Drosophila melanogaster: one gene and its partners. The protein of the gene in region 1 purifies or fractionates together with the protein of each later gene. This does not show direct contact. Each region holds a gene or a part of one and is shown on either strand. Other genes may lie near its edges.

The links.
Region 2: the proteins of Scm (region 1) and ova purify together in Drosophila melanogaster (affinity purification with mass spectrometry, with the first as the bait; one study listed by BioGRID). This does not show direct contact.
Region 3: the proteins of Scm (region 1) and SMC5 purify together in Drosophila melanogaster (affinity purification with mass spectrometry, with the first as the bait; one study listed by BioGRID). This does not show direct contact.
Region 4: the proteins of Scm (region 1) and Psc purify together in Drosophila melanogaster (affinity purification with western blotting; 3 studies listed by BioGRID, with this or other methods). This does not show direct contact.

Annotation. Positions count from the first base shown.
Region 1 is NT_033777.3:9,632,823-9,639,555, forward strand, and holds Scm (Sex comb on midleg), read right to left. Parts: upstream 4,790-6,733; 5' UTR 4,334-4,789; coding exon 3,788-4,333; intron 3,730-3,787; coding exon 2,812-3,729; intron 2,747-2,811; coding exon 1,715-2,746; intron 1,654-1,714; coding exon 1,516-1,653; 3' UTR 537-1,515; downstream 1-536. Other genes in the region: SpdS (spermidine synthase), read left to right, coding at 1-284. UniProt on the Drosophila melanogaster protein: Polycomb group (PcG) protein. PcG proteins act by forming multiprotein complexes, which are required to maintain the transcriptionally repressive state of homeotic genes throughout development.
Region 2 is NT_033779.5:10,227,217-10,233,623, forward strand, and holds ova (ovaries absent), read right to left. Parts: upstream 4,477-6,407; 5' UTR 4,067-4,476; intron 2,740-4,066; 5' UTR 2,735-2,739; coding exon 2,489-2,734; intron 2,396-2,488; coding exon 2,198-2,395; intron 2,131-2,197; coding exon 1,969-2,130; intron 1,911-1,968; coding exon 645-1,910; 3' UTR 544-644; downstream 1-543. Other genes in the region: eEF1delta (eukaryotic translation elongation factor 1 delta), read left to right, coding at 5,357-5,443, 6,265-6,345.
Region 3 is NT_037436.4:21,567,277-21,574,053, forward strand, and holds SMC5 (structural maintenance of chromosomes 5), read left to right. Parts: upstream 1-1,975; 5' UTR 1,976-2,102; coding exon 2,103-2,176; intron 2,177-2,244; coding exon 2,245-2,617; intron 2,618-2,680; coding exon 2,681-2,859; intron 2,860-2,980; coding exon 2,981-3,227; intron 3,228-3,279; coding exon 3,280-3,378; intron 3,379-3,443; coding exon 3,444-3,731; intron 3,732-3,785; coding exon 3,786-3,887; intron 3,888-3,945; coding exon 3,946-4,154; intron 4,155-4,213; coding exon 4,214-4,377; intron 4,378-4,455; coding exon 4,456-4,785; intron 4,786-4,840; coding exon 4,841-5,058; intron 5,059-5,114; coding exon 5,115-5,339; intron 5,340-5,409; coding exon 5,410-5,634; intron 5,635-5,699; coding exon 5,700-5,857; intron 5,858-5,913; coding exon 5,914-6,031; intron 6,032-6,091; coding exon 6,092-6,187; 3' UTR 6,188-6,247; downstream 6,248-6,777. Other genes in the region: CG7634 (uncharacterized protein), read left to right, coding at 1-103, 168-451; CRIF (CR6-interacting factor), read right to left, coding at 859-1,557.
Region 4 is NT_033778.4:12,977,935-12,982,824, reverse strand, and holds the start of Psc (posterior sex combs), read left to right. Parts: upstream 1-1,830; 5' UTR 1,831-2,777; intron 2,778-4,603; 5' UTR 4,604-4,661; coding exon 4,662-4,890. UniProt on the Drosophila melanogaster protein: Polycomb group (PcG) protein. PcG proteins act by forming multiprotein complexes, which are required to maintain the transcriptionally repressive state of homeotic genes throughout development.

The DNA of each region.
Region 1 (6,733 bases):
CCCAGGGCGGTAGCTTCTGGCTGGACCTGGACTACATCAAGAAGACCATGTCCGGCTGCAAGGAGCACTTTGCTAAGGTGGCCTATGCCGTCACCTCCGTTCCGTCCTATCCCTGCGGCCACATTGGCTTCGTCATGGGCTCCCTGAACAAAAACCAGGACTTCGCTACTCCCAAGCTTGGAAAGTCCGAAATCGATTCTATAGACCTAAGGTACTACTCCTCCGAGGTTCACTCCGCCGCCTTTGCCTTGCCTCGATGGGTGCAGAAGCACTTTTACGAATGACCAGGTTGCGGAAAGATTCGTGTGTATCTGTTTGTTAAAAATAAATATGATAATAATATGACTTGTTTATCATCGCTTCTTAAATTCTTGGATATTTTCAACAAATGCTGACTCTTGCAATGATTCATTTTTAGTCGAATTTTTGTAGCCTGAGTATTTTCCTTCCAATCCGACTACCATCTTTCAGTTATTTTACTGTTGAAAATAGAACAAATTGTAATGTTTATTACGTAATGATATATACAGTTGGCTCTATTTAATTTTTGTATTTGTAAGTGGATGCTGGGTTAACATAATGAGACTTATTGCAATATTTTACACGACCGAATGTTACTCTCATTTATATATCGCATATATTGCAAAACTTTGAAAGGAAGCGTTTCTTATATGCAAAAATGACCTTAACTGCATGTGAATAATTAACTAAAAACTGATATTCAATTTCAATAACTTAATAGAAATTAAATCTTCAACCTGTTTAATGACTAATTAAATATTGTTATAGTTAGGAAACGCAATTGATACATAATTACAAAATTAGATGTAAAATATGTACAATCATTTAATATTGGTTTTTATTTTCTCGCCTATTCTAAAGTTAATTATCATTTCTTTTGTGTCGGATAGATTTTGGTGTCTAATGTGCGTGTTTTTATGTGTAATAAATATAATGTATGTGCATTGCGATTTTGGTAGCCGAGCTCCAGTTTTCGAAAAAGTCGAATCATTTTGTGTCCAATTGAGAACTATTTCACATTTTTCGAAATAGATGGATAAACTAATTATTGTGTGTGTACGAATACTCCACTCCTTTGACTGGGTAAATTTGAATAAACCTATAAAAATTCCTAATTCAAGTATAATAATTTTGTCTAAATAAATCAATTTGTAAATGTGTATTCCAAAAAAAGAATCACGAGCAGTTGGAAAAAAATTAATAATAATGGTTTTGAAAACCGGAGCTTGACTGTGTATAATTTGTTATGCGATTGATTTTGTATAGGGAATTTCATGTCTTCGCGATTACATTTGTTATAGCGTGTTTTATATTATCAATATAATAAAATAGGGTAGGGGTTTTTTCTTCATGAATGGCCAACACATAACACATCTATGAATATCGTTCATGTTTGCTTTGCTTTACGTTAAAGGGAGGTACTAATTTGTTAACAATTTCTATATAAGTCAAACCCGAACCGAGTCCGCTGCCTGAAACTTAATGTTTTTCTGTTTAGAGTGCCAGATTATTTCGACGACCATTGACCTTATTGACTAAATTGCAGATTTTTAAGGCTGGTCCTAGCTTCAGGCCCATGTACTTCATCATCATCTCTGAATTTAGCAATAATAAAGCTTTACCATCGATTTCCTACAGACGAAAATTAGATAAGTTACTTTATTTAAGGTAATTGGTAATAGCTACTACTTACGTGCTTTCGGAAGAGATCACCATGAACTGCAAGGGAGTTGTCGTTGCTCTCGATGTACTGGATCACCTCTTCGATGGTCCAGTCGATCGGCTGCGACCGCAGATGTGAGTTTGCCAAAGCAGAAGTGGGCGTGCTCACGGGTGAGGTAATCGCGGTGTAGCTCGGAGAAGCTCCCGCAGTTGCCGCTGCTCCAGCCGGCGCGGTGGCCGCCTTAGCCGCTGTAACTCCACCTGCAGCCAGTGCAGTGGACGAGGCTGACTGGCAGCCCGTGAACGGCGTGGACACGGATGTCGGCAACGAGGCGCTTGACGAGAGCGTCGTCGGACTCTTGTAGTAGCTATTCGAGGGCTTTACATTGGCCTGCTCTGGATGAACTTCTGCCACAAGAGGTGCCAGGTATTTGCCAATTGTGCTGGTGTTCGCCGATCCTCCGGCTAGGCTCGTGCTGGACGACGTTGACGAGCTGCTGCAATGGCTGGTAGATACGTGCGTGGTCTGGCTCGTATCCTGGTTTCCGTTTGTCGCAGAGCTATTCGTATTCGTGTTTGCGTGGTGTTGGAAGCGTACTTTGCGCAGAGCCTGCGTTGTGGAGGAAGTCTGCGCGTTCGCTCCGTTGGGCTCCGATTTGATGACCACCTTGTTGCTGGACTTGCTGGCACTGTTGTTGTTATTGTTGAGACTGTGATTGCTGTTTTGCTGGCTTGCAGGCTCCTTGCCATTGTTCGTCGAAGTTTTCGACTTGGACTCCACTGGCGATTTGACAGCCAATTCCTGCTTGATAATCTTCTCAGAGGGTGATGTCGTTGCCGAGTTGGATTGACGGTTTCGCTTGTCGGCGAGCACTGGCGAGGAAGGCGGTGTGGCTGACTGAGTCAGTTGACGCTTCCGACTATTGGCGCACTTCTTGCACTCCTCCGTCTCGTGGACCAAGGAAATGAGATTCGCACATGCCCGGCATGTAGTGCACAGCGTTTCGATGAATTGGGCGAGGCTTTCGTCATCCTTCATTCGCATTGGCGATGGTATTTTTACCTTTAAGAAACGAAGAGTATATTTTAAACATGCTTTTCATTGAATTTAATTGATCTTGAACTCACTGTGAAATTTTTCCCCGCTGCCGTCACGATATGAACATCTCCTTCCAGGGCAAACAGCAACTTTGAGAGCTGTTGCGTATCCGTGCTGGCAGCTAAAACCTCCTGCAGGCAAAGCTTGGCCAGCGTTTGGTAGGTGGGTCCCGTCACCATGCAGGGCAGTTTGGAATTGTTGATGAACGGACCGCCCTTGCAGTTCGGATGGAAGTGGGCTGTGGCAGGGGAAGCGGGAACCATAGCCTCGGACTCAGCTACAACAGTGTAGCGGGGTCGAGGGCATCGCTGTTTGCTAGAGCTGGAGTCCATGCGCGATTTATGGCCCGGTGGCTGCATGGGATGACAACTTCTAGCGCACCAGCCGGCGGGAAAAATGTCACGCGATCGGTAATTGCACCAGTAGTCGAATGCCCCTCGCCAACCATCGAATGTTACATGGATCTGATCATCCTTGATTGCATCTACTGTTGCACAGCAGATGAGCTGCGGGTTCTTCTTGTCGACAGCCTCGAGTTTCTGGCCCACCTTGAACAGGTTTTCTTCTGGCTCTGGCGGCTCTGGCTGGAAGATCTCTTCTGGCGCCACCATGGCATTGTTGAGGATCTTGCACAGATAGCCGGGCCAGCTGGATGCGTTCATGCGGAATCCCAGAGGCGGCTGCAGCATGCCACCGTTCTTTTCACAGTGTCCAATAGCATGGATCTCCGTAGAATCGACCAGCCGCCAAAAGTCATTCTGGGAGTCACTTCCATCCAGGCGTAGCCGCAGTCTGGAGCCAAGCACTCCGACCACGGTGGCAATGCAGGTGGAAGTGACGTTGCGCGGATCCAAAGCCTCCAGCTTCATTCCGATTTTAAAATCATTGTTGGGAGGATTCTGAGCCTGTTTGAAACATTTTGCAGGAGCAGCTTCGCTACCCGTTTCCTGGAAACCACAAAAAGTATGAGATTGGGGGTTAAAGCATTATCCCAGCTTGACTTACCTCTAGATAGGCATCCCAGTCGAAGACGTGGAAGCTCTCGTATTGAAAGGGCCCCGTTGGTGCGGGCGCTCCACTGGCCAGCAACTTGCGCTCGCTTTCCGCCAGACCCTTGCCCGATGCCGATCCGCCGCTGTGCCTGGTCGAGCAGTTCTTCTTCTGGTGCTTGTTCATGCACATGATCGAGCAGAACTCCTTGTTGGGCGCCCCATCGCGGATGACGTTGTCGCACTGGGTGCACGCCCCCTTGCTGTACGCCTTGCGGAACTCGGCAATGCATGTTTCCGAGCAGAACTCCTTCTTGCCGGTCTGCGTGGGCAGGACGTACTGCAGCGGTAGCTTGCCCTCGCCGCACCAGGTGCATGTGGCTCGTTTGGCCGGTCTACCTCGTTGCCGTTGCGTGGACGCGGGCGATGTTGTACTTCCAGGGGATGCGGATGTGGATGTGGAGGAGGCGGATGCGGATGCGGAGGAGGTGGCATTCGTACTGGCCCCTGGCGCAGCAGAATTGCTCCCGCTACTGGTACTGCTATCACGTCCGCCCGACATGGTTTCTCGCGTGGCTGTCCTAGTAGTCGCACTTGCTGATTCGCGCCGGCAAGCCCCTTGGCATCTCAGGCGATTTCGATTTCGTGTGTTCCGATCCGGCGGTCAAATCGCATTGCGGCTGCCTTGAATCATTAGCCACCAATAGCAAGTTTTGTTTTGCAGCACTAACTTTCCGATTTCTTTCGATTTGGCCTGGCGAAATTTTGCGGCGTTCTTGAGGTCACGTAATAACAAATTGGTGGCCAAATCGCATCGCATCACCCAACGAAAACAAACGCGAGCCGCACAATTAGTTTCTGGTTCACCAAATATCGAGCTTTATATTTAGAGCGCTGCGCGGATCTTGTTACTCGGTTTCAATCCGAAATTAGATGATTTTGAGTCGCTTAAACTCCAAAATGTTAGACTTTTTTTACTTTTACGCTCGGTTCCGCCATATTTGTTTTTCTAGTGGTGACATTCAGATCTTTGCGCATATCGATAGTTGCTTACCTGTGACAGCTCACGAAGCGATGAAAATAATCAACTAATGTGACTAATCGAAAAATGTTATCGAAGCAACTAAATGCAATTTTAAAATAACGTTAAATGGGAAATCACATAACTGACAATAAATAGTCAATTTAAAGAGCAAAGTAGATAATGCTCAATACTTTTACCACAATGTTGTATTTAATTTAACTGCTAATATAAATAAATATTTGTCATTTTTAAAAACGTAAGCCCTTATTATAGAAAAGAAATTTGGATTTCCTGTCAAAAATTGTACAGCGTAATGTAAAAACTATTTAGTCTAGTAAACTGAACCGTTTTGGTTTTGAGAATATAAACTTATAACCGAATTCCTACGTTTTAATATCAGCTCATAGTATTTCCCAGTAAAACTAACAAAACGCTCGTGAATCAAATTTGCACAGCATCAAGTGGGCGTAAATTGGTGAATAATATAAAAAGTCTGTAAATTTGAAAGCGCACGGCACACATCAGCCGAAAATCAAAAAAAAAAAAATGGGTTAGTCAACAAAACTAATATCTACCAATTTATAGAACGCTCTGGTATGTAAACATTTCCATTGAACTGGGAGAAATTCGCAATAAAGCGGTTCAGATAGTGGAAAATGGGTTGAACAAGGGAAAGTTTTGATATTTTAATAAAATCATGTATAACATAGGAAAGCGGTTTTCGTAATTACCAAAACCATGAAACAATCAATACTGAAATACAAAAATATGTTACTATCAAAATAATGGCTTATACGATTGGCCTAAGGCTTTATTAGGTCAAGCAAATTAATATTACTTGCTTACCTTTCGTTAATTTTATTTGCTGAAGAGCGTCGCAAATGTCAAGAAGTCTAGCAAATTACTAGAAATTACATAAGTGTGTTTCGTTTGCAGTAAATTCAGTAAGTCGAAAGCGGCTCAAAGATGAAACAAGTTGGAAAAACTTTTCTGGGATTAGCCGAAATGTATATTGGTCAAACTTTTTGGCTAACTTCTGCTGCTGTTTGATTTTTGTTCGCTTTGCCTAAATGGTCCGTAACTTGATTTAATTGATGTGCTTCAAAGAATAATCCGCTCACTTAGTCGCGTTTCAAAGATAACCAACTGGAAGCCAAATATTGCGGTCGAAAAACTTGATAACACTGTTAATTGAATGTTTTGAAGGCGGCGTGATGTCCCTCTTTAATAATCAATAAAGACATTCCTAATTATTAATGATTAAACTTGACCGAAACCAAGTTCCCTGACACTCACACAATCGTCAAATCGCGCATAATTGGATGGGACCATCGGCTGCCCATAACAAGGATAATTGGATGAAATGAGGCGGCTGCCTTTTCTGCTCCTCATTAAATGCCCGTTTACCGTTTAGTCGCCTGTCAAATCCTTGATGGGCTATTAGAAAAAGGGGTGTCCAGAGACGAGTTCTTGAGTCATTGACTTGTTACGCAAATTGGACAAAAGAAATTTCTGGCTCCGAGTGGGCACTGGAGTGGGGATTGAACTTAATAAGCATATTCATTAATGGGTGTACAGAACCAAGTACAAGGTTGCATCTTACACCCTTATGGATATCCTTTCCTTCTTGAATCCCTAAGCAAAAGTAATCAGGCAAGTAGCTAGACTTTACTAGTTGCTCTATTAAAAATTAAAAGTAAATTAAAATTGCCTCGCACTACCAAAACAGCATTACAGCTCGCATAAAAGCACGTATAAATTGGCGGGAGTGGCATTTTGACGGAATTCAATCAGCCATAAAGCATCCTGCTGGGCAGGAAATGGAGGCGTTTGCCTACGTGCTTAATTACAAGCCGACGCATGCACATTCTGCATACATAAAAGGCGAAGACACGTGTTCCAAGCAATTAAAAAGTATGTCAAAGTGGGTGATCAACG
Region 2 (6,407 bases), on another chromosome or scaffold:
GCATCGAGTGGAACAGTGTGGGAAAGAAACATCTGGGATGGTCTAAATTATATCAAATTCTTCATCCCATCGGAATGAATGGAAAATGCGATATAAAACTAGATATGCCAAACCAAAAGCAGCTGACGCGTACAGCTGAATCGCCTAAAATAGGCGGGGTGATGGTTAACTCTACAAAGGGCCAAGCCCACGTTGGGTTGAGGTACATACCGAAAAGACTGGTTCAAGTATCAATCATGGGATTAATGCTACTTTGTATTAACCCTGACGTCCCCTCTCTTTCTTTAATGACGTAATAAAATTATGATGTGACTCATAACCAAAAAAAATAAGCTTTTGAAGGTCATGTACTATTTACGTGTACTTTATGTCGATGCTTTCAAACAACCAGATCATCGATTAACGCTTCGAACTATGAAGAAAACGGATGGAAAATATGCTGATTACCATCTATACGTGGTAATAGAGATCCCAAAACAGTAGGGTTCCTCTACAGTATGTCTTTTCTTTAAAACGCAGAGAAAATGAATTTAGACATTATATATAAAAGTATTTAAACAAATTATTTATTCATATATGGTAATTCTTAGTTTAGGTTTTCTTGTAAAATAACAATTTCTTAACTTAACTATGGATTAAAATGTCTAAGAAGTTAAATCAATGGAAATTATACGCCCAGTGCCATTGAAAGGCGGAGCCGCGGAAATCGCATCAAACGTACTACTCTCAGTAGTCTGATTTGTAGTGCTTTTTTTCGAATTAGCCGAATGAGCGTACCAGTCTGTGAGTGCGACCAAGTTCTTAGAAAAATTGCAGTTTTCCTGATTGTATTCCTTTCTGTGTCCCTCAGAATCAGCAAAAGTATTCGATGTACTCAGGGAACCAACCAGTGAATGATTGGCTATCGAGTCTACGGTACAGCGACTAATTACTGAATTAGCCTTATAGTTTGAATAAATATATAAAGATTGCTGTAGGGGCTTAACCGAATTATCAACTATTACTGATTCTGGCTCTGGAGCACATTTACTTGGCTCGACGACGCGGCTACTGTACAAATTTCTGTTGTTATGTGTAAGTTTTATTACAGTCAGTGCATCCGAGCCAAGTCTTTTGGGCGAGCCTATTGCTGGCTCTTGTTGCTCATCGTCGTCCGAGGAGCATAAGTCAATTGTATCAACAACAACTTCCTTTGTGGGTGAAATTCTCCAGTGTGAGTTGAGCGAATTGTGGCGCGTTAGTCTTATATTGAGTTTTGTATTTGCAGTGTGATTTTGCTCTTCCATTACGTGTTCGGATATTTTTTTCAATCTGACTGATATTGGACGGCATTGTTTAATCAGCGGAGAGTTCAAAAACAAAAAGTTCTCAGTAGTGTCCCTGCGTTTAACAAATTGACGCCGCGGAAAGGAATATATGTGATAATTGTGTTCATGTGACTTTTTAAATGTACAATGCACTGTAGTGTTTGTTTTTTTTTCAAAATACTTTTGCTTGGTATTTGATTTATTGATCAATGGAGTGTAACAAAAGCGTTCCAGGCGTTCCTGTCTTTCCGCAATATAATCCATTGATATTGTTTGTTTTGTCGATTTTAACAATTGCTGTCCTGCAGGTGATGATATTGGGATAAACGAACACCTACTAAACGAATGAACTGTTCGATTTCTCCGCGATGGTAAACGCCTCTTTCTGTTTGATGTTTCCGTTGATGTTTCTTCGCTGAATGAATATGTTTTCTGTTTCTCTTTAGATAAACTATTATCGGAGAATTTGGGTTGCAGTTTAAAGTTTAAGAGAAAGGCGTTGCGCTGTTCGATATCTTCGTTTTTCCCATCACTTTTGTTATCTGGCTCAGGGGAATCACAAAGTATAACGTCATCCTCCATGCAACAAATGTTTTCGTGTTCCTGTTATGCAATAGAGTTATTAACTATTAACTTTGACAATCTTTGGCAATCAACTTACGAGTATAGCTTCTTTAGAATAAAGTTCGGCATCACAGTTGTCACATAGGTAGATATCAAAAGGTGGTGGCTCAACCATCATATGCTGTACGTTTTCGCTAATGGAACTGTTGTTCTTTTGCAGCAACAAGCACTTTCTGTTCTTTTGTTGTCTATCATATGACTGCAAAATAACCAATTCAGAATTAACTAATTTTAAAACCCAATTATTCAAAGTAGGCTTGGCTTACCATGTTTTCATTTCGAAATGTAACCAACAGTTTGTTGTTTCTCCTGTCATACAATGAAGTTGTTGAGTTATAATTGTTTATGAATCTTAAGCTCGCGTGTTCATACGCAGCTAAATCATTACAAAATCTTAATAGAAATAAGCTTTTGTGAAATTGATAGCATATAACCACAATTTCTTTCATTTTTTCCATCCAATTCTGTAAAATAGATACAGGTATATATTAGCCATTTATGGGGGTGAATGTTAAATATAAGCCATAGAAATCAAAAGGTAAGGGAAAAAAGCTTACCCCAACAAATGCTTTCGGCTTTTTGAGCGGAATCTCGAAAGGAGCGCTTTCGGGCCACCATTCTGGTTCACTGCAATCTATTTTCTTTGGTAAGTTTATGTGTCCTAAAGAGCATTGCACCATGAAGGGAATAAAATTTTCTAACTGGGACTCCGTAATTTTTTCTAGGGATGTTGGATATCCGTTCGCAAACAAAAGTGGTAGGTTGGATATCATGTTGTGTTGAGCTTTATCTTTTTCATCCATTGTCACTGCAAGTGAATTAAAATGTTATATTTTATTGCCATGTTATCGATAGTTTTCCAAGATAACCGATTAAAACGATTACATATGTATAACATATCTACTTAAAAATTTAAAACTACTAAACTTTCCTAAAACCAAACCAAACAAACGATTTCAAATATTTATTAGCAGTTGTGATAAGTAAGGGGCGCAGTATATGGATCTAGCTGTGTCCGTATGTCTGTCCGTCCTCATGAACGTCGAGATCAATAGAGAATACTGAGGGTGATGAGTAAACTCAATTAGGTACCGTGTAATAGTTGTTCTATAGTCCTTGAAAAGTATATAATGATCATCTGCCTGTCCGTCCTGATGAAGGCCAGTTACTCGTAAAAATATGAAACTAACAAGTCTTTACAGCCTTGATCCGGATTACTAGCCATGTCGATACAGCCATAACTGACTGTAAGTCCGTATTTGTTCGTATAATCGTAAAGCCCTCAGGTACTATTAAAGCTACCCTGGAATTGAATTGCCACGTACATTGTGACACCTAGGGATCAAGGTCTAGAATACATAACTGTTTACGTCCTTTTTGTTCTAGAAATCTCTAGTTTAGTGACCGCAAACATTACTTTTTTGCAGGACCATTTTATGAACGGTCACATTAAAAAATGGCGAGTGATAACCACAAAATGGCGAAGATACAGACTGTCAAGTCCGTGGGGACAATCGATAAAGGTATCGATGATTTTTTTTTGCAAAATTACAATCCTTGAAATGTACCTTTATTAGGTACTATATATCGTATACACATTGTACCAATAAAGTACAGCAATATGATTAAACTTTTTTTTTTATAAAATACTTGTTTTGCCAAAGGCGTTGCCACTTTGGTTTAGAACCAAAGCTAGTGGTTACGCCTAGCGATTTCATGAAATTGACATGAAGTGGAATGTTCCCACTTACAGGTTTGTGCGATATCGCTTCGCGAATGCTAACTATGCAGTTTATACGAGTTATATATTCTTGTGGCGAGCCACGACCAGCGTTTCACTTTTGCAAAAGGGGCAGCTCATAAACCTTGCGTCTAACTGCAGATTTCCTTACTGAAAAACCACGAATTGCTCTCATATGTGTACATGCACACACACGCACACACACACGAAAAACACACATATGTATTCCAAGGGAAGTGGAATAAGTTTGCAAATAAAATTTTTACTGCATAACTTGGGACATTTTTATACGTAAACACACTCACACAAGCACTTCTAGATAATTATACATAAACACAAATATTCATATGTTAAATGGAGTCATCACAATTATGCTGTGGTATAAATATCCCACCTGATTTAGACGAGTGTATGTAATACACTCAACGAAAATTACTATGTTCAGCATCATTTGAAATATAATTTGAATAGTACACACTTATACGTTAAACTGGTTGATAACGAACATTTCGACACCGATTTTGTATGGCAATACATTAAACTCAGTGCTCTGGAATGCTCAGTGCTCTCTGCATATACATATCACTGAGTGAATCCATTAGAAAGGAGTCTCAAAAACCGATCAAAATAGAATCACCATCAGTACGCACCAAGAATTCGCAATGATTAACAAAACGGTAGACACCGAGATCTACAATCACAAATATGATAACATAGTTACAGTACACAACACTTTCTTCGTAAAAAAACCATTTGTTGTAGTTGCTATCGAATAGTCGAAGTGAGAACTGACTGCTAAATGGCTGAAATAATTGTGACAAATACTACCCAGTCTTCAAATTGAAACGCGGAAATGGAACAAAATGTGATGTTGCACTTTTACTTTGCTCTTAAAAAAGTTTTTTACTGTAAATAAAATACATGTACTGGAATTTTTGTGTAAAATCGACATCGAATTAATTCGATTCCATCAAACACAGCTGACGCAAACATCTGTTAATCTCTTATACAAAGTAAAGGAGAGTTGTATACCTTTAAAAAACTTTAAAACATTTTTTTTATTATGGTATCTTTTTCTAGCTTTTTAGTAGCACACAAGGACGAGGTCCGTGATATAAAAATTTTGTTAAAGAGAAGAAGAAGCATTAAATAGTTAAGTGGAAGATAATATATAAAAAAAGTATCCCTCTGTATCCCTCTTTCATCAAACCTCTTCACGCAACGACGACAATTGTGGTGAACATTTCGTTGCAACCCATCACAAGCAATAAATCAACTGATGACAAGTATACACACATGTTGATCCGCAGGCCTGTGCAAAAGTTCGTCAAACATCGATGAGGTGCCACGTGGAACTTACATTTTGCTACGTTGAGATCAAACTTTTTTTTTATTTCTTTCCGGGCACTAATAAGTGTTTCAATTTATGGACGTTTTGTAAAAATTGCAATAAATTTGTTTATTTACTCGCACATCAAAAAGCAGTTCGTATGAGAATGAGAACGTGTTAAAAATTTGGTTGAAATAAAAATGTCGTGTTTCATTTCCATCGTTTCAGTAGCAATAAAAAACGAATCCGATGGCGTAGATATCGATATACCTGCATTCCCTTTCAAACGTGTTATCGTATTGTTCAGCCAATTGTGCAACGTGTTTGAGTAAATCTGCGGGCGAAAGACTAAAAATGAAAGTAGAGGCATTGGACAAATTCTGGGCTGACAAGAGCCGCTACGATCTTGCCGAGAAGCGATTCTACGAGGGTCCCCAGAAGGTAAAATCTCTAAGCAATCACAGCCATAAGTACTTAAGTTGTTAGCCAGTTTCACGTGGCCGGTAAATCAGTTCAAATGGTTTCGGCAATGTTTATTGCAAATCTGTTTGTTTTAACAGCAAGGACGCCGAAACACACATGTTCTAAACTTCAATACATACGTAGAATGATCTATTAAAAGATTTCTATATTTATCTGCCTTTGATTTTCAATTGCTGTGTTCATATTGCACATTACATTGGTATATTCTTGTAGCTGTATGTAACAGGTGAACGTTTAACACTTTTAAAAAATATAACTATGTGCGTAAAGTGTATACAAAACAGAGTGTGAGAGAAAACTAACTCTGGCAAGCCAAATTTTGAATACACTTTCCGTTTGGCAATTGGTATAAATACAAAATATAGTATGCAAAACATAAGTACTTAACATGACACCTACACAACAAAATTCGTTTATTCAATGGAAATGTGCCAAAAACAAATCGATGTATACAAAGTTAAAACCTATTGAAATTCAGGGAAATACTATAGTTAAGTAAAGGTTTAAACACGTTGTATTCTATCTACACAAATATACTACACAAAATGCATAGCACTGCATTGTATAATATTTAAACTACGTACAATTTTTGGGCTGATTAGAGTGAGGCTTATCAGTATTTCAGCATGCTTGCATGACAACAGACTTGAAGTAGATGCCCGTACATAAAACATCTCATTTTGCTTAAAAATTATTATCCCTAGAATCCTTTGTCAACCATTCGATACACCAAATGTCAGTTCACACAAGTAATCAATGGTGTTGTCTTATTTTTAAAGGTAACTGATCGCAGCCACTACAGCCCATTAGTAAGCGAAATCGCAAAGGCTAGGGAACACATACAGAACTCGCTGGAAAAGGTAACTATTGTGATAAATCTTTGTATTTCAACATTTGATTTGTTCACATTCCTAGGTTTCTT
Region 3 (6,777 bases), on another chromosome or scaffold:
TACCCTATAGAGAAGTCCTACCTACTTCACCAAATGGCAGAGATTCATCTTAAATCACACAGGTTTGACGAATGCTGTTTTAGTGCCCGAAAGTCTATTGAAGGTTTGGTCCATTAGTGCTATACTATTAAACGGTTATGGAAATACCTATATATCTATCTTTTTAGAGGCAAAAAAATGCAATAGCTACATTTGGCAGTTTCTGTGCTACCTACTGATAATAAAGGCGAATGCTGCACTCCACAAAGTCGAGCGAACCAGTGAAGCTCTAGATCTGGCACTAAAAATTTCCAAGGAATTGAAAGAAAAGCATATTCATAACTTCTTGACTGCCTGTATACACTGTAATGAGGAGGAATTCATCGTGAAGAAGCAGAGCATTTTTGCGAATAGCCGGCGCGAAAGCGAAAAATCGGTGTATAGTTCCCTGTCCGTGCGCCATAGCAATTAGAGCTTTGTATTATTTGTATAACCAAAAATATTGATTAATAAATTCTCAGTGCAATTATAATAGTGTAGTGACCTATTAGATACCTATACTCAAGTACCCCTGCGTATTTGGAATTTGCATTCTTATTATCAACTTGCAAGCTCCTTCATGGCTAGATCGACTCGGCTACTGATCCTCTTTTAAAAATAATGCTTGTGTAACGTATATATTACACAAACATCGGGCTTACTTTTCACTAGTCTAAGCAAATTCTTGTCTTAATTTATAAAAATATAAAATATTTTGCAACACTTTAAAATATTTTATGGGAGTACAGATAATAAGTGCTCTTCTTTTTGCAGTGTTTTTATTTTAGTGTAACATACAACAGTTCTTCGCTTAAATCGATGGTTTTGATACTACAAATATTACACTGATGCTTTCTCTACCAGCTTGGCCATCATCTTCTCCTCCTTGGCCTTTCGCTTGGCCTCCTTCTGCTTCTTCTTGTCCTCCTTCTCTTTTTGCTCTAGCATTTCCTTAAAGCGTTCGTCGCGTGTATCCACCTTGAACCCGAAGTGTCGGCGCACCTCCTCTACCAGGCGTTCCTTGCGTTGTATGGCTGCCGCTGCATCCGCCTCCCGCTTAGCGATCTTCGCGTGCAGGTCCGCCTTCCACTGTGTCAACTTCTCCATCTTCTTCGCAATGTCCTCTTCACGGGCATTTATCCTTGCCAGCTCCTCTGCCTTCTGCGCGCGGTTCTTCTCCAGCATTTTCAGGAGTGTTTCTAGTTGCATAACCTGCCTGCTGTCTTTCTCTCCGTGGGAATCGAAGCAAATCTTGGGATTCACATTGCTCTGGGCCCCATACCGGCCGAATGCCTGTCTCTGGTACTTCTCGGTCAAATGAATCCAGGAGTGAGGTTCCTGGTATGGCAATTTGTTAAGGAGCACATTTTTGTGTTGTGGTTGCAGGCCGGATCTGTCCACCGTCTGGGGATATGTTGGTTCCACATCCACGTCGCCGACCAAGGAAGCCGGCAGTTCCGCTTTCGCAGCGCTCGAGTACTGGGCGCACGAGCGGAGGGCAGGAAGTCTGGTGACAACGCTTATCTTGCCTACATTCATTTTGAATTGTATTGTCTAAGCAAAATAGTTTATTAATTTCCAATAGAGATGAGAGAAAATCGATAGCGATGACACCAATGCTGGCAACTAAACCCTTTTGGAGCTAAATTCAGATATTTTTTAGGCCCCGTCAGAAAGATAAGTAATAGATATTAATTGTTGTGACAGTCTGGCTGCATCCCAGCTCAAGCTCTATATATTTCTTTTTTCCTTGCTATTTATTTCTATCAATTTGTAATTATCGTTTCCACGATTTGTTACTGACATTTTACTTGTCAGTTTTTATTCCGAAAATAGATTTCTGAGGCTTAAAATTATCATTTTTATGTTGTCAGCTCAAAATATAAAAGAAACATAAATTGATTATACATACGGGCGGCGCACAAGTGTACCCTTAATATACCAATCGTTATCGACAACAATGGTACGTGCACATATGCCCTAATGCAAAACTAAATTCTTGAAAGCGCGGAATTGCATTTAAAACAACTCGTTTTACTTAAGTTGAAATAAGCATTTGCTCGGATAAAAGCCTACGCCACGACATGGCGGGGGATCGTGCCTTAAGTTCCAAGCAATTGGCGGGGCGCATACATTCCGTGTACTGCAAAGATTTCGTGTAGGTTTATTTCCATCAAAGGCGCAAATTGACAATTTCGCGGCTCATTTGATTATTTCCAACAACAGATCCTACAGCGAGATCACATTCCATCCGAAGCACTACCTGAACGTTCTGACCGGTCCCAATGGCAGTGGCAAGTCCACCATCGTGTCGGCCATAATTTTGGGCCTCGGAGGGGAACCGATTCTCCTTGATCGCTCCGCCAGCGTTGCCGACTACATACAGAGCAACAAAACCTCGGCCACCATAATTGTCCGGGTGTATGGACGCACGCCCAACACCACGGAAACCTTTCGGCGCATAATAAACTCTAATGGCTTGTCTACCTTCTCTGTGAACGACAAAGACACCTCCAAGAAGAACTTTTTGGCTGCTGTATCCTCCTTTAACATACAAGTCAGCAATTTGTGTCAGTTCCTCCCGCAGGATCGGGTTCAGGTATGTCGTTATGTTGGCAATTCATAAATTACACACCTATTTATTGTAAACATACTGTTTCAGGACTTCTCCAAGATGAATCCTCAAGAGCTTTTGCTCAACACAATGTCCTCCGTGTGTGACGAAGACCTGATCAACAGCTTCAACAGTCTAAAGCAAATGCGCACAGAACAGGCGAATGTCCATGCTAATCGGGAAAAAGAGAAAAGTGATCTGGTTAAGAAGCAAAAACGATTGGAACAGTAAGATATAGTTACCCGAGCTTATTTTTATTCACTAAGTAAAATGTAACCAAATGTGTGGATGAAGTACAAAATTTTAATTCTTACTAAAAACCTAATTGTCTTAATATCATTTTATTAGCTTACAAATGACTGTGTCCCAATATAAAGAACGCGAAGAGGTCAAGCAAAAGCTGCAGGTGTACAGTGCGAAGAAATTGTGGGTTGAGACTCAGGCTGGAGAAGCCAAGGCCGCAGAAATGAAAACTCAAGTGAAAAACGCAAAAACTCAGAGCGACAAATTGAAGAACCAACATGACAAACTTCTTCAATCCCAAGAACAAATTGAGAAGGAAAAAGAATCACTCAGAAAGGCCTTATTGGAAAAGGTAATGGGTGGCAGTGTTTTTTAATATATTTTTTAAAAATAAGTTTTTTTAGACACGCTTATTAGAAAACGCTGTAGCGGAGAAGGCGGCTATTGATGGTAAAATGGACTCTTTGAAGCAAGGAATTTACCAAAAAAAATATGAACTGGAGGTTGGTGTTCTTGTTGCATATATCGATCATGTGAATAACTCTTAATCTTACATTCTGTCACATAGCAAAACATTAAAAAATCACGAAGAACGGCCACAGAGTGTGATAACCTAAATCAGTTGGTGGAGAATAAAATTTACGAGCTTGAAACCCTAAATAAGAGCAGGCCTCTGATCGTTTCGGAACTTGAAAGGGCTAAGGAATCGTGCGCAGCTGCCCGCGGGAAAGCAATGGAGCAGTACAGCAGACGGAGACAACTGGAACAAAAACTGAATGATGAAATGATTCCTGAAATTACTGCGTATAAACTTAAAATAGAGCGGTTGAGAAACGTCAAAATGCAAAAGATTGATGTAAGTTCTTACTGAAATAATGAAAACTCAACTTAACGCTACCTTTCATTTTAGGAAATTAGAGCAAAAAATCCGAATTTGGTTGTGGCCATGAACTGGTTGGCGCAAAATAAGCAAAGGTACAAATTGAACGTTTATGACCCAATGATACTTGAGGTGAGCTTTTCAAAATGAAGCCATTACCAATGGCCTAATGTTAAAACCGCTATCATAGCTTACAGTACAAAATCATGAGGACGCAAAGTTTTTGGAAAACGTTGTGGCGCAGCGCGATTTATTTGCATTTGCGTGTGAGGACAAGGGGGATATGTCGGACCTGATCAACGAGTTGTGTGTGAAGCAAAAATTGGGAGTTAACGTTATTTACTGCGCACCATCCGATAGACTCGTGTACAGTCCCAAAACTCCCATCGATGATCTGCGGTATGCACTTGTCAATTGTCCAATACTAGTCCAATACCTAGTTTTAAATACTTTTACAGCTCTTTCGGATTTCGGTCATACCTCGTGGATCTTGTCACGGGACCAATACCACTAATAAACAAGCTGTGCGCTTCCTATTCCATTCATAATATACCAATTGGCACAGAAGCTGTGGGCAATTACACTTCATCCATTCCAAAAGCTATCCGAGTTTATTTCGGCGGTGTGTATATTTTTCTTATTCGGTTTCGCTTCGCAAATGTATAAATTCTGATTTTGAATTCCGTACTGTGCATTTTAGGCAGCAAGAAGTTCGTTGTGACCGCATCCCGCTATCGGTCGGATACTATTCTAACTGAAAGTAGCATTCGAGCGAAGAACCAACTTATTACAGTGGACTCACAACAACTGGCCCTGGTGATGAAACAGTGCTCCGAAGCAGTGAAGGAAAGCGACAGCATTAAAAACGCAATAACCCAGACCGACAATGAATTTGAACGATTGCAAGCTGTTGCAAAGGATGAGCAAGAGAAGAGACGAAAGCTTGACCAAAAAATAGCCCATTTTAATAGCCTGAAAACCGAAATTGAAACGCTCCAAAAGAAGCTGGAAGCCCTGCGCAATAGCGATTGTAAGTATTTCTTAGTGCACTAAATATTCAGCCATTATGAACCGTGTTTTTTCAGCGCTAGACTGTCTTGAAACCAATTTTTGTAACAGTTTGCATAAAGACTTAAAAAAAATATTCGATGCTGATGCGGAATTGTGCTCGTGCTTGAAAGCTATTGACCGACTTATAATTGAAAAGAATATGGCCCAGACAAAGGTATCCATTTATATGCTGCAACATGAGACTCAAATTGAAGCCCTCAAGGAAAGCGAGGAACAGAGTAAAGCAGCAACCGTAAGGAAATCGAAATGCACTTAAGGAATTTATTTATAGGAATGTTTTGCTTGCAGAGAGACTTCCAACAGTTGCTGCAGTGCTTAGAAAATCAAATTAGCGACGTTAACAAACGAAAGAGCGCTATTCAGGGCCTTTGCCACGGAGAAATTCCAACCAGTAGCAAATTTCCTTTTAAGAAGGAATTTAGGGAGCTGGAAAATATAGATTTGCCCGAACTACGAGAGGCAATACATGACTTTCAGGCACGATTGGAGTGCATGAAAAGTGTAAACTCCGAGGTAAAACACTCTTTTAAATTAGTGAACTGAAGCTGATATATCTAATAACTTTCCATATTAAAATATGCAGGCCATCAGCAGCTATCAAGGACTGCAAAATGAAGTCAAGCAACTGGAGGAAGGAATTCAAGAGTCTGTTAACCAAGCAAAGAGCATCGAGTCTGGCATGTCCAATTTATACGACAAATGGGAGCCCAAACTTAATAGCTTGGTAGAAACAATCAGTACCAAGTTCAGCGAATTTATGGAGTCCATTGAATACGTGGGAGAAGTTGTGTTATCCAAAACCGACAAAGTGAGAACTTAAACTGTCCTACATAAAAACTTTACTTCAAATGTATTTCACTTTATTAATTCTAGTATGACTTTGACTCATATGGTATTCAGATAATGGTCCAGTTCAGGAGAGGTCTCCAGCTGCAGCCGCTGGACAAGTTTATTCAATCTGGTGGCGAACGCGCAGTGTCCATCGCCATATACTCATTGTCCTTGCAACATGTCACCCACGTGCCATTCAGGTGATTGCGGAACCCAGCTGCAAACTGACGCCCGATTTATAGTTCTCCATTTCTAGGTGTGTCGATGAAATAAATCAAGGCATGGACGCTACAAATGAACGTCACATATTCGACTTGCTCCTCAAAGAAGCCACCAAGCACGGCTCGGCTCAGTATTTATTTGTAACACCTAAGGTAAATATAAATGCTTATTCATTTAAATATTTAGTTAACTGTTTTAAATCTTCTTTGTAGTTGCTTCGAGACCTGAACTACAACGAACATCTCTGTGTTTCCATTGTTCACAACTCAAAAACTGTTTGCCATGGCATGCAATTCCCGATGGCTTAGACACTTTGGGTCATCCAGATTTACTATATGTATTTTTTTATATTAAACACTACAAAACATATCTATTGCATTTTGTCGAATGACCAGCCTTGTGGGGACTCCTTTTCGAACTGTTGGCCTACTCGGAATAAAATCTGTAAGCCGGTAAACAAGTCCAAAGGCAATGATGCCTGACGATTTGTTTTATCAGATTTCAATTTGTCCTCGATTTAAAACCCTACAACAGCACCTATATCTTATTTCATATGTGAAATGATTTTAACACTACAATGCGAATACTTTTAAGTAAAGAGATGCCTTTGTACATATGTTTTTTAAGTAATTGGATAAACTATTTTGGGATGTTAAAAAATATATTTATATTTATATATATATTTATATATATTTAGATATGCAATTTAATGCAAATCATTTCTTTACAGGGTTAATATTAAGCAAAGTATGTCAAAAGTATGATCCCTCGACGCAAACTATAAAAGTTCAGGTTAACTTCAGATAGATGGTTAGTTTTTTATCAGCTCCAAAGAAGTCGGGTTTTGATCGCAATCCGTGTGTGCCCTTATTATGGTTGGGATTTTTTAGATCAGCAG
Region 4 (4,890 bases), on another chromosome or scaffold:
TATACATATGTGCCAAAATTTATGGTTATACGTATGTATATACCTAAAACAAGCGATGTATTAAGTTATATTAAGATCTTTACCAAATCATTTATTAGGTTCTTTACTGAAAGGTAAATGTTCATTGAATCCTTTACTTTGTGACAGAAATAATAATCATAATAATAATAATATATTAAATACATAACTAATCATTATAATCAAGAATTATTAAAAAGCCTTTGGAGGTCCCTGTAATGCTGGAATTTTTCTTCTACGGTGAAAACTGTGTGCGAAAGTGTTTACTGGAGTGATTACAAAAAAAAAACAAATCCCTGCCTAAAACACCACTTAAATTAAAATTCATTGGGGTTTTTTGACCATCACTATTGTGAAAGATATGATAACAGAATGCAATTCTATTATGATTCCGTAAAAGTTCACGCAAAGACAATTCTTGAGTGCATATTTTGTCTAGACGATTCATACAAAAGGCTAAAAATAGACCAAAAAGCACATTTTCAATAAAATGCAAGCTTTCGACATAAGGTCCGATCGGTAAACAATTTTATAGTAACATGAACTTAAAAAAAAGTTGGAAACAAACTAAGACAAAACAAAAATATTTGTTGATTGAAAAATATAATAACATTTAAATGTTATGTATTCAATGATAATTTTAGTTGTTTGGCTTGAAGGGTACTTTTACAATTGTGTACTTATCAAACTTTTAAATATAAAATTTTAATATTTTTACAGTTTTAATATACTCTAAGATTACTACTGTATTTCTTCTATGAGAATAAAAATCAATCTTTATTATTGTTTGGGATGAAACTTTAAAAACATTTTGTAATTTATTAAGGCTAGTTTAAGAAATGGTTGAAATATAAGAATAAGAAATATAATAAGAAATATATTAATTTAAAACCTCCTGACATCTCCGATTTTACTGTGGGCAAACCAATCAATAAAAGTATTATAATAGAATGGAAAATGAATAAGAAATTAAAAAATTTTAAAAAGAAGTTTTCCCTGCAATAAAACTGAAAGAAAAAATCTTTAGACTTTTTGATCTGCGAACTTCGAAGACTTCAGAATAGTATTGGGTGAGTACGCTACTATTTAGAGGATAGGATCATTATAAATAAAAATATGCAAAATAAACTCTTAACTCCCACGGCAATGATAATAATGGTGTTAATTTGCATGGAAAGTATCGTCATGGTACGGTTCCTTCGTTCGCAATTTATCCGTTAGATCTGCATTGTTACGTTACGTAGAGCAGTCTAACGGTTAATTCGCCAAGACGGAAACGAAGTTGCTGCTTTTATTGTTGTTGGCTGCCACTGATTGGAGAGCTCTTTCGCGCTCACATTGTGGTTGTTGCTGTTGCTGCCACTTCTGTGGGGGAAAAAAGGAAAAGGCAAGGGAAAAGAAGCAAAAAGCATTTCCAATTTGGAGGCATTAAATAGCGTGGGAGCGAGAGGGGTGCAGATATAGACGTACGCCTACGTGCAAATATGCGATTTCTGCTGACGGAAATTGCAAGTTGCGATTACATAGGCACTCATTCTACCTTGATTGCACATGGTCTTATGTATTCCGAAGTGTTTGCAGATGGATAAGAGCCCGTAAGAGTTGTAAAACCTCTGCCATTTATGTGCAGCCCTTTGTTCTCTATCCCCCTCCCTCTTCAATTTTCCGCTTGTACATACAGAAACGAACAAAGAAACGGCTGGCAAAGCAAAAGAAAAGAGCCAAACGCCGACGTCAATGTCGGCGTCGACGCAGGCAGCGGCAGCGACCGACGATGTGGCGACCGAAAAACAGAGTCAGCGAAGAGCGCCTGTTTTAGTGCAACACCAACATTCAACGAGAGCGGTTCGTCGACGCTGTGCGGAAAGATTACAGAGCGAACGAGAGAGACCGAGCCAGAGCGACGACGCCCCGCAACGAGAACAACAAAAGAGCCGAGTGCGCGTGCAAGAGAGATAGCTGACTTGTTGCCCAGTGAGAGGCCGGCGAGAGCGAGACGGACGATCAGTGTGCGAGCGACGAAAAAGAAAACAAAGATACTCGCCCAGAGCAGTTGGCTACCTGTCTTTGGCCTGGTATATAAGTGTGTGTATGCGAGAGAGAGTAAATAGCGGGCAACGCAGCAGTACATAAACGAAAAGCAGCGTGGTCGTTAGTCGAACAAAAACTCTCAAAGCGAACGGACGTGTGCGGTCGGTTGTTTCGATACTCCTGCTTTATCGCTATCCAAACAGAGTGAAGCGACCACTATAAATAACGAAACAAGAAACATGTGTTTATATTACAACCAGAGCTCAAAGCTTCAGTTGCATAATAATAATAATAATAAAAAAGCAATCTGAAGCCAATTTCCTTTGTGTGACAAATGCCGTAGCAGCAACAACAGAAGCACAACACAACTACGTCTGCTGGCTTATGTACGTCGCGCGCGCTTGTGTGTGTGTGGGGCAGAAAACATAGAGCAAAGCATAATACACAATAAAGGTGCCCGCGAAAGCAGAGCAGCCGAAAGTGCCAGCGCGTGTTGGTGTGGTTTGAATGTGCAGGCGAAGTGAAGAAGTAGAAAGAAAATAAAATAAAATAAAAGTGAAGTGGAGCATAGTGAAGAAAGAGAAGCAGAAACGCTGACTCAAAACTCAAGTGTGGATTATTTACTTGGATTATTCCTCTTGCCATTGGATTATTTATGTATACAAGGCGACCACCGCGATGCCAATTAACTGGCTGGATTATTAGTGGATTAAAGATTGGATACAAAGGTACATGATTGGCGTTAATCAACACTGCTCTCGACCGGCAGCTGTTGCGCTCTCCCCCCACCAACCACAGCCCCTCTTCTGTTTTCTCTTGATGACCCCCTCTCTTTCTTTCTCCTTTTGTCCCAGCAAGTAAGAATTTCGATTGGACACACGGCAATTGAAAAAGGGGAGCATGAGAATATGAGCGTGTGTGACTGATTTTTTTTTACTGCTCTTTCATTTAGCAACGTTTTTTGTTTTATGTTTATGTACTTGTTTCTTTGAATGAAAGCAATATGCGAGTGTGTGTGTGTGCGTGCTTGTGAAAGAGGAGATAAAGCCGCAGTCTCGGTTCTGCATTCTCCGAATTTTCGCTGGGTTGTTGTTTTTTCTGTTCCCTGTCACAGTCTCGCGTTTCCCTTCTTTCAACATCCCTTCGCATCCCTACCCACACACACACACACAAACATACGCGAGCATATAAACACACGCACACCACACACAAATAAGAAATTCCGCTGCTTTTTTTTTTATTATCCTTTTCATGTTGGTACTCACTCACATTTTTTTGCGCGCGCGAGAATCCCTGAGACTTTAAACACGGCAATGGAATGGGTTCGGTAAAATAAGAAGGGAAAGGGCCAACAGAAGGGTTCCTCTTTTCGCACAGCACTTAAAAGTGATGTAAAAAGGATTTAAAGAGGCCTGCTGGCAATTTCTTTTCGCCCTCTCCCATATACAGTCATTCATATTCCATTGCCATATTTTCTGTACACAAATATAATTTTCCATATTCTGTGTGCCCCCGGAGTTGAAAAAGTTTTTCCGAAAAGTTTACCGTATGTACCTTGACTTTTTACTGGCGCGTTGATGCAAAAACAACTTGAAGTTGTTTGAAATACACATTTTGTTCGACGCCCCCACAGATCCGCCCCCCACTTTCGATGTACTTGGCATCTGGTTAAAACTCCACTCGGCACTCTTCACTCTCCCCCCTCCACCCTTCCATCCATAATAAAACAAAGCACCCCTGTGCAACTCTGCTCCCCCCTCTTTTGATCCCAAAAGTGCTGTGCATTTCAATATATTCGACGTAGGCATTCCCATGGCAACTACAACATCCATTATCGAGGGCCCCCACATCCATCGACTGATTGCAAATAATAGCTGCCAGATTGCGACTCCTTTCTGTCTACTGCTCAAGTCCCACAAGCTTTAATTTGGGACATCATGTCTGAGTTAAATGCATTTTGATTTCTTTGAGCTAAAGCGTTCTCTAACAAATTAAAGTCAAAGCATATTCACTAAACTCTAAAAATTGAAATGATCTTTAAGTTTCGATGTTCATGCAACAACATATTTGTTTATTTTACTTAATAAGTTCTTGTCTTTGATCATTTATATTGAGTCAGCGTACTTGGCAACATCATTAAAATATTTTCTGAACAGATCTCTTATGACGATCACTGTAGAAACTTTATCACCATTTCAACTATATTAAAACTGATTCACGAAGAATGATGCAAAAGAGAAGATTGCAGTGAGGAAAAATACGATCCCACCGAGTTCATTAACTCTACCAGTTTTCCCAGAAAGTGTATATTTCCCTTGCCTCCATTATTCTATCGTAAACAGCGAGGGGCGAGTGGAGCTTTAAGCTTCTTCGCGCACCAACGAGGCTATACCGATATAGCTTCGGCTTATTGCTTTCTGCGGCTCAGCGTCTGATTTATTTATAATCTTCAGCACGCTCTCTTCTCGAGTCGATTTACATTTTCCATTTCACATTTTCCATGCGCTCCTTTATTCGCATTTAATTTTAACTTCTGGCATTATCTATTTTGCAGATTGACGCTTGTGCGAAAAACAAAAGCGAATTTTTAGCGGCGAGAGTGTATTATTACTATGATGACGCCAGAATCGAAAGCAATACAGCCGGCAGCAGCAACAACAAAGCAAACAGCAGAAGCAACAGCAACAACAACAATGGCTCACACACAACAAAAGTCGCAGTTGTCAACGTTGGCGAAAACAACAACGACAACGGCAACGAATAAGGCGGCCAAAAGCGTTGTCAGCAATGCAAATAGCAGTGGCAACAATTCGAGCAAAAAGCTGGCTTTGTCTCAGTCTC